2 linked regions of the Canis lupus familiaris genome follow. The protein of the gene in region 1 interacts with the protein of each later gene in a pairwise test. Links are inferred from orthologs where the notes say so. Each region holds a gene or a part of one and is shown on either strand. Other genes may lie near its edges.

What was found.
Region 2: the proteins of SLC38A7 (region 1) and SAR1A interact in binary tests that used the Homo sapiens proteins (3 or more experiments, as listed by UniProt). The link is inferred for Canis lupus familiaris from reciprocal best matches to the Homo sapiens genes SLC38A7 and SAR1A.

Annotation. Positions count from the first base shown.
Region 1 is NC_049223.1:57,268,022-57,272,230, reverse strand, and holds the start of SLC38A7 (putative sodium-coupled neutral amino acid transporter 7), read right to left. Parts: upstream 2,834-4,209; 5' UTR 2,772-2,833; intron 2,766-2,771; exon of another isoform or gene 2,510-2,765; intron 2,500-2,509; exon of another isoform or gene 2,041-2,499; intron 1,626-2,040; exon of another isoform or gene 1,422-1,625; intron 513-1,421; 5' UTR 361-512; coding exon 91-360; intron 1-90. UniProt on the Homo sapiens protein: Symporter that selectively cotransports sodium ions and amino acids, such as L-glutamine and L-asparagine from the lysosome into the cytoplasm and may participates in mTORC1 activation. The transport activity requires an acidic lysosomal lumen.
Region 2 is NC_049225.1:21,863,862-21,868,085, forward strand, and holds the start of SAR1A (GTP-binding protein SAR1a), read right to left. Parts: upstream 2,801-4,224; 5' UTR 2,688-2,800; intron 2,064-2,687; exon of another isoform or gene 1,878-2,063; intron 1-1,877. UniProt on the Homo sapiens protein: Small GTPase that cycles between an active GTP-bound and an inactive GDP-bound state and mainly functions in vesicle-mediated endoplasmic reticulum (ER) to Golgi transport.

The sequences.
Region 1 (4,209 bases):
CCATCTTGGATGCAGCACCTCCCTTCTGAGGTACAGAGCCCTGGCCTAGCACCTGACCTGCATTTCCACCCTAAGGGCCAGCATACTCACCATCTGCAGCGTGACACCAGCTGCCACACCCCCTGCAGAGCTGAAGGCCGCGGGGAAGTTGAGCAGCCCTGCACCTAAGCAGGCATTGACGACGATAAAGATGGCCCCCACTGTGGAAGTGGTGCCTCTACTCAGGCCCTCAGGAGAGGCCTCCCCTTCGCTCTTGGGGGCTGTGTCCACACAGGGACTCTGCAGCAGACGGGCCCGCTCCCCAGAGTCCGTGCTCGAGCCCCACTCGCCAAGGTCACTGTTGATGCTGACCTGGGCCATGGCCCTGGGAGCCCTCTTCTCGCAGGGTCTGTGGATTTGGCCTCACAACCACATCTCCTGGGTAGCTGAGGGAACGCCTTCAGCTGGAGACCAGCACCAGCCTGTTTGGGACTATTATCCTAGGAGGCCTGTGAGCTCCAGCTCTTTTCAACCTAGATGGGAGACAGGTACTACCGTTATCCTGAGATGGGCACAGAAAGCTGAAACAACATTCCCAAGGTCAGATGGCTGAGATTCAAACCCAGGTGTCCCTCTGTGCAGAACACTGCAGTGGGTACCACAGTGAAGGGTGGCAGAGACAGAAATACATCCTCTGCAAATCCTGCTTGCTTCAGGCTTACAGACCCATAGGGTCAATAAGACATAAACATTAAAGAGAGGGGTACTAACACTATAGCACTACAGAGAAGCAGGAGTATCGTAGACATATCTTATCTCATTCAGTCCTTACCACAGTGGTCCTTTTTCTTTCCTTTTTAAAAACATCTTATTTATTTATTCATGAGAGACATGGAGAGAGGCAGAGACATAGGCAGAGGGAGAAGCAGGCTTCCCGGGGAGCCCAATGTGGGACTTGATCCCAGCATCATGCCCTGAGCCAAAGACAGACACTCAATCACTGAGGCACCCAGGTGTCCCATACCACAGTGGTCCTAAGGTTCATTGAGATTGTATAGCTGACCTAGGGTCACATATTAGCAAGAGGAAGAGCAGGATTTGGATCTAAATTTATCTGGCTTCCCAGCCTGTTTCCACTTCACAAGGTTGCACAAGAGCAGCCCTCAGCTAGAACTGTAGGTATTTTAAAAAAATATTTTATTAATTTATTCATGAGAGAGAGAAAGAGAGAGAGAGAGAGAGAGAGAGAGAGAGAGAGAGAGATAGAGAGAGAGGGGCAGAGACACAGGCAGAGGGAGAAGCAGGCTCCCTGCAGGGAGCCCGACACGGGACTCGATCCCAGGACCCTGGGACCATGACCTGAGTCTAAGGCAGAAGCTCAACCACCGAGCCACCTATGCGTCCCAACTGTGGTTATTTCAGTGAATTACAGTCCAACATACCTCTTTCTGGTCCAGACTCTAAATTCTGCATAGCCTTCGAAGTCCTTCAAAACTCAAGGCTAATTCTCACTCTTCTCTTGCAGCACTGATCTAACCACCGCCCATCAGAGAGACATCCCTTTGATGCCCTCAATACATTTAGAATGGCTAATGAGAAGCTTAGGTAGGTAGTCAGATGCTTCCTATTTCTCCTTCTGGTGATGGCTGAACAAAGGTAGGAATCGTACACTCGTGAGAGGGAAAAGGAAGAGTGGGGGCGCTCTCAGACAACTGTCACCAAGGATGCAACCAGGGGACCCAGTTCCAGAGGAAATACCTCTCTGCTGCCTCCAAGTCCAGAAATATCAATCTGATGCCACAGGGCTTCCTCCTATGCAACCTGTTACCCAACCAGTAACTCAGCCAAAAAAATCAAAGCTGTGAGTAGTGGAGGTAGAGATTTGGGCTCCCAGCTTTCCATCTGGCTCCAAGGAGAGCCTTGCAAAGTCAGCACTCCCAGAGCTGTGAGACCTCCGCTTTCACCCCGCTTACATCTCAGACACAGAAGTCTCAGCACTGGTCCAAGAGCTCTCAGCTCTTCTTCCTCAAAACATCCTCAGCTCCACAACCCCCAGCTTACCTGCTTTTTCCACCTGATGGCCTACGGTGGAGGGTGTGTTGCTCCTTACAGGTCTTTCTCCCCAAAGATCTGGGATCTGATTTTCCTCACTTCCCTCTATGGCACCAATTTATTCTTTCTCAAAACTTCACCTAAAACCTGCTGTCAGCAGGAGGAAGAGTTTGAGCTGTTTCTGGGCTGGTCAGCAGAGTGAAGGGAACCGAGCAGCTCTGACGCTAACTCACAGAATGGGAGCACCAGATAGGTCAGGGGAACAGGCCCAGTGAAGGAAAAGGGCTAGACTAATGTCACAGCAGGTAGTTGGCAGAACCAGAACTAGAAGCCTGATGTGCACAGGCTCAGGCCAGAGCTGTAACCATTGCCGTGGGCCCCCGGAGATCCCAATCGGAGCGGGTTCCCTGTACAGCCGGGGGGCTGGATCCCAGAGATACGCGGGGTGGGCTGCATAGGGAGGTGGGTCAGGGCGTACCCGGAGGGTAGGATGCCCAGGCCCGAAGCAAGGCGAAGGGGCTGCGGTGAGGTAAGCTAGGAAGGCGCTCTGGGACGCGATCCGGGCCTAGCACTAGGCGGAGTCAGTCGGTCGGGGCTGCGGCGGGGCCAAGCTGGCCGAGGGCGGGCGGGAGGCCGAGGACGCCTGGCTTCGGAGCCCTGCAGGGAGTGGGCAGGACCCCACCGCAGCGGGGGCCCCGACACTGAACGCTTCCACCCTCCACAGTCCTCCTGCCACCTACCTACAGCGCTTCACACCCGAGCCGGCGGCAGGGACACGTGAGCAGCCGTCACATGACCGCCGGGACTGCGGCGGCCGCGGGAGACGCCGGGAGTTGTAGTTTTCTGCGGCTTTAGTCTTGGACGGCACCAGCTCCTGCAATCCTCAACCCCACAGCATTGACCTGAGCCCCTCTCCGCGCCCAGATCACTATACAGATCACTATACTTACACTGTTAGTTTTTTTTTTTTTGTAAATTTTTATTTATTTATGATAGTCACACACAGAGAGAGAGAGAGAGAGAGAGAGAGAGAGGCAGAGACATAGGCAGAGGGAGAAGCAGGCTCCATGCATTGGGAGCCCGACGTGGGATTCGATCCCGAGTCTCCAGGATCGCGCCCCGGGCCAAAGGCAGGCGCTAAACCGCTGCGCCACCCAGGGTCCCCTACTGTTAGTTTTAATCCTGGTATCTTGGTCAAGCCAAACACTTCACTTTCCTCCTAGGAAGAGCATTAGAAGCTTTGGTGTCTGAGCAGTCTCATGAAGTGGGCAAACCTAATTGGCCTCCTTAATCCTTGTCGGTCTCCCTCCTTGCCTTCAGGCTCGCAACCAGAGACCCTGTAGTTTCTTTCACTGAGGACAGGGAAGGACCTTCTGTGCTGTGTGTTCTCTACTATGAGAAGACTGGTCTGAGTGTTGCCCAGGGCCTAGATTCTAAGTTTCTGAGGCATCTAGTTACTCATGTAAATAAATAGTTGCATGAAGGAATGGGTGTCCAGAGCCCTGGCTTCTGTTCTTGGCTCTGTGACACTTGCAAGTTGTCACAAAATCTTTCCAATGTACTAGGTCTGTGTTATATGAGAAGATGCTCTCCACTATACCTACCTGTCCATGTGTCAAAGGTCCTCACTAATGAGGGAACACAGGGAATGTCATAGAAACCCATCTTTTTTTTTTTTTTAAGATTTTATTTATTTACTCATGAGAGACACGGAGACAGAGAGAAGCAGGCTCCATGCAGGGAGCCTGACGTGGGACTCGATCCGAGGTCTCCAGGATCACACCCCGGGCTGAAAGCGGTGTTAAATCGCTAAGCCACCGGGGCTGCCCCCCGTCTTTTTTTTTTAAACTGAAATTTTTATTGAGATCACTGTAGATTCATATGCAGGTATAAGAAATAATACAAGAGCTCCTATGTACTTGAGGGAGAAACAGGCTCCCCTCAGGGAGCCAAAGTGGAACTCAGTCCTGGATTTGGGGATCTCACCCTGAGCCAAAGGCAGACGCTCAACCACTGAGCCTTCCAGGCATCCCGCTCCTGTGTACTCTTTACTGTTTTCCTCAGTGGTGACATTTTGCAAAACTACAGTACAACAGCCAGGATGTTTTTTTAATTTATTTTTTATTGGTGTTCAATTTACTAACATACAGAATAACCCCCAGTGCCCATCACCCATTC
Region 2 (4,224 bases), on another chromosome or scaffold:
TTTTTTTTCTGTCCAATTACTGGGTTTTGATTGTTTTTTTTTTTTTAAATCAAGCCTGACCTATTGGCTTTTGGGACTGTTTAATGCTTATTTTCTACGGCTCTTATCACAGAAGACCAAATGAGGCTTGGGAGTTTGGGTGAGAGTCTAAGGCAAAAGCTTTCATAAAAAGATACTATGGGGTCGTGGGGTTTTTTTTTTTGTTTTTTTTTTTTGCTTTTTTCAGTAACATTAAGATATATTTTGGCAGAAACCAATTTAGCATGTTAGATAATTTGTCTTGAAACTTAGCACTTTAAAAAGTTTAATGACTTAAATACACGTAGAAAGCTCCTGCTTTTAAATTCCCACTGTAGGTAAGTAAAGGAACAATGTGCCTCTTCTCTACAATTCTCCCAAACCAGGCATCTTTCCCTACTTTTCTCAGTCTACAACTTGGAGAAACGTGGCTCATCTTTACAGAGACCTCTGTCTGATTAAGATCACTCCCACTCCGGGCACTCCTTTAAAACCCATTGTTACATATTTACTTGTACTACACTGGTTTGTGGTCGATACCGTAAAGTTTTACCACATCATTTTAGAATTCTTCCAAACCCAATGAATTCTCCAAGGGTGACAATGGGAAAACTCTCCTTTAAAAAAAAAAAAAAAAAGATTTTATTTATTTATTCATGAGAGAGACAGAGAGAGGGAGAGGCAGAGACACAGGCAGAGGGAGAAGCAGGCTCCATGCAGGGAGCCCGATGTGGGACTTGATCCCGGGTCTCCAGGATCAAGGCCTGGACTGAAGGCGGCGCTAAACTGCTGAGCCACCCGGGGCTGCCCGGGAAAACCCTCCTTTGAGGAATTTTTCACGGGAACTGAGCTGGTCTGATTTTCCAATTTATCTTCCCTTGACACTTCTGCTTTAAAGTCCTATAATTCGGGGCGCCTGGGTGGTTCAGCAGTTGAGCATCTACCTTCTGCCCAGGTCGTGATCCCGGGGTCCTGGGATCGAGTCCCACATCGGGCTCCCCACAGGGAGCCTGCTTCTCCCTCTGCCTCTCTGTGTCTCCCATGAATGAATAAATAAATAAAATATGTAAAATAAATAAATAAAAGTCCTATATTTCTTCCCTCCAAAACGATCTATGGAAAAGTGCTTGAAGAAACTCTTCAGGTGATGCTAACAAAATCATAAAAACTATTGGACCCAAAGCGTTGCGTTGTATTGCCCCTCAAAGTCAGAGAAATGGCTTTGAGGCTCCTCCATCCTTGAGACCTTAGGATTTGTACCCCTCGTGAGTAGTTTTACACTTTTTTTTTCTTAAAGATGTATTTATTTATTCATGAGAGACACACACAGAGAGAGAGGCAGAGACACAGGCAGAGGGGGAAGCAGGCTCCATGCAGCCACCCAGGTGTCCCATGGATGGTATTTTGATAATTAGCACTCTATTTATTCCCTGTCCTTGATCCACTCTATCACCTTAAGGCACTTCATGGCATCTTATGGCAAATCAGCATACTCTAAAACTTAAGAACTCTAAACTACCACAGAAGCACTGCCAATGTACCCCAAATTAAAATTCGCAAATTTTCAGGACTGAAGTAGATAAAGAAGAGGAGGGGATCCCCGGGTGGCTCAGCGGTTGGGCGCGGGCCTTGGGCCCAGGGTGTGGACCTGGAGACCCGAGATCGAGTCCCGCGTCGGGCTCCCTGCGAGGAGCCTGCTTCTCCCTCTGCCTGTGTCTCTGCCTCTGTGTGTCTCTCAAGAATAAATAAATAAAAATCTTTAAAAAAAAAAAAAAAGAGGGGCACCAGGCAACACCGACCATCAGCCACTAACAGTGTGTACGTTCCTTTCTGCACACGCTCCCACTTCCTACACGTACTCGTCACGGCTCTGAAACACCGCTCCAGGCCGACCCGGGAGGGACAGCAGGTTTTCGGCTAAGAAGCTGTGCCGAGCTGCAGGGTAGCTAGTAAAGGTCAAGCCCCCAGTCCCGGCCTAGGCCGACGGAGGAGGGACGAGAGCAAGGGGGAGACTCCCGCCGAGGGCCGCGGGGCGCCAACCCTCGCAAGCGCGCTCCTGGCCTCGGCTACGACCCCGGCCAGCGCGGACTTCTACAAACGCGCGGAGGAATTTTCCCACGCACCGGAGAGGGCAGAAAAGAGGAAGGTGGGGGGAGGAAATACCGGCTCGACCCGGGCCTCGCGGACGAGAACTCAGGGCCGAAGGCGGGGAGGCCGGGCGCGCCCCGGAGCGACCCCCCGAGCTCCTCCTGCGACCCGCGGGGCCGCGGCCAAGGCACAGCCTCCGGGGCCTCGCGATTCCCCCTCGGGCTCAGGCCACGCACAGTCATCAGGACGCCCGCCCAGGCTAGGGGCTCTCCGGGCCGGGCCGGGCCGGGCCACCGCTCCGCAAACCCGGGCGCACGGGACACACAACGGTCACCCGCCCGGCGGCTGCGGGACCCCGAGTAAGGCCGACCGGCCCGCACCCCGGGCGCTATCGGAACGCGGCGGCCCGGCCGGGGCGGCCCATCCCCGCCCAGAACCGGCCCCGCGGCCCCGCAGAACCGCCTGCGTGTCACTTCCCCCCCCAACTCCGCCCGCGCCGGCCTCCGCCCCGACCCTCCCCGCCGTCCGCGGCAGCCCCGCCGGCCCTCGGCTCCCTCCCCTGCAGCAGCCCCCCTGCTCACGGCCGAGGCGGGGCTGCTCCTCCGGCGGCGGCGGGCGGCGGGCGGCGGGCGGCGGGCGGCGTCGACCCTCCCTCACAGCACACAGCCCAGCAGCACCCGGGACCGCCAGCTACTCGCCGGATATACGCAACACGCCCCTCCCCGGGGACTTCCGGGCGCGTCTCGACCCCGCCCCCTCGTGGCGTCACGGCGCTCCGCCACGCCGGGGCCGCACGGCGATCCCGGGGCGGGCCCGCATTTGGCCACGCCCCCTCCCGCACGCAGAGCCGGACGCGCGAGACGTGGCAGCGCCGCGGCCCCGGGGGCGGGGCGGGAGCCGGGGGGGGCGGGGGCTCGCTCGGGGTCGCGGGTTCGAGTCCCGCTGCCGTCGGACGGAGTCGGGGCGGGGGGGCGGGGGGCCGGCGACCGGCGGCTTGGTCGGTTCTCGGAAAGAAGCGTTTCCCCGACAGCCCTCCACCCTGGGTGGGTCCCAGAAAGCCCGTCCTTTCCGTCGCGGTTCTCTGGGATAGCCTGTTGTTTGGGAGGAACGGCTAATATTCTGAGCGCTTAGGGTCCAGGCGGTGCTCCGAGCCCTTGGCGTGAATCCTCCCTCGATTTGTCTTTTTAATTTGACTTCGATTACAGCCCTGATGAAGCAGATACTGTTATTATCCTCATTTTTTGCAAATGGGAGGACCAAGGTTCAGAATAGTCCAGTAGCCGAGCCTGAGCTGGTAGGCGAGCAAGGCGCAGAGCAGGAATTCATTTTTGCAACTTTTAACATGAGCATTTCCTCACTTAATTCTGAAGACACAGCCCTACGAGTTTCGTATTATTACTCCAATTTTACAGATAGGAAAACTAAGTCAAATAATGGGATGAATGATGTTTTTGGATAGTTAAGGCCCAATATAAACATCTTAATTCTCCTTAAATACAACTATAAATTTAACATAATTCCCATGAAAGTAATAATAGGATCAGTAGGTTGTGTGTGTATGTTAAACCACCCTGTTTTGTTCCCGCCTAAAATTCAAATGGAAAAATAAACAAGGCTATTCAGGGAACAAACAGGATCTGAAAATGAACAAGGATGGGGAGCTAGCACTGTCAGATACTCCAATATATTATAGATGCTCAGTAATTAGAACACCTTGGGGAGGAGCCCCTCAGTGGTTCAGTCGGTTAAGCATCTGCCTTCAGCTCAGGTCGTGATCCCGGGTCCTGGGATCCAGCCAAGCCGGTATCCAGCTCCTGGCTCAGCCGGGAGTCTGCTTCTCCCTCTGCCCTCCCCCTGCTCCTGCTCTCTATCTCATAAATAAATAAATAAAATCATCAGGTGGCCATCTGGCAACTCCAGTAATATTCAGAGGGCATTGGATGAACAAGCTCACCCCTTTACCCCTTCTTTTCATCCTGTGAGTCTTCTGCATTGAGTTTGAATCCTGTCCAGATGCAGAAAGCCATGTTCTGAGGCTTCTCACCAGCTTTGGTGAAACCAGGGGAACTGTGTCCACAGGACTTGGACCTCCAATGTGTGTGCCCTGGAGGTATAGGG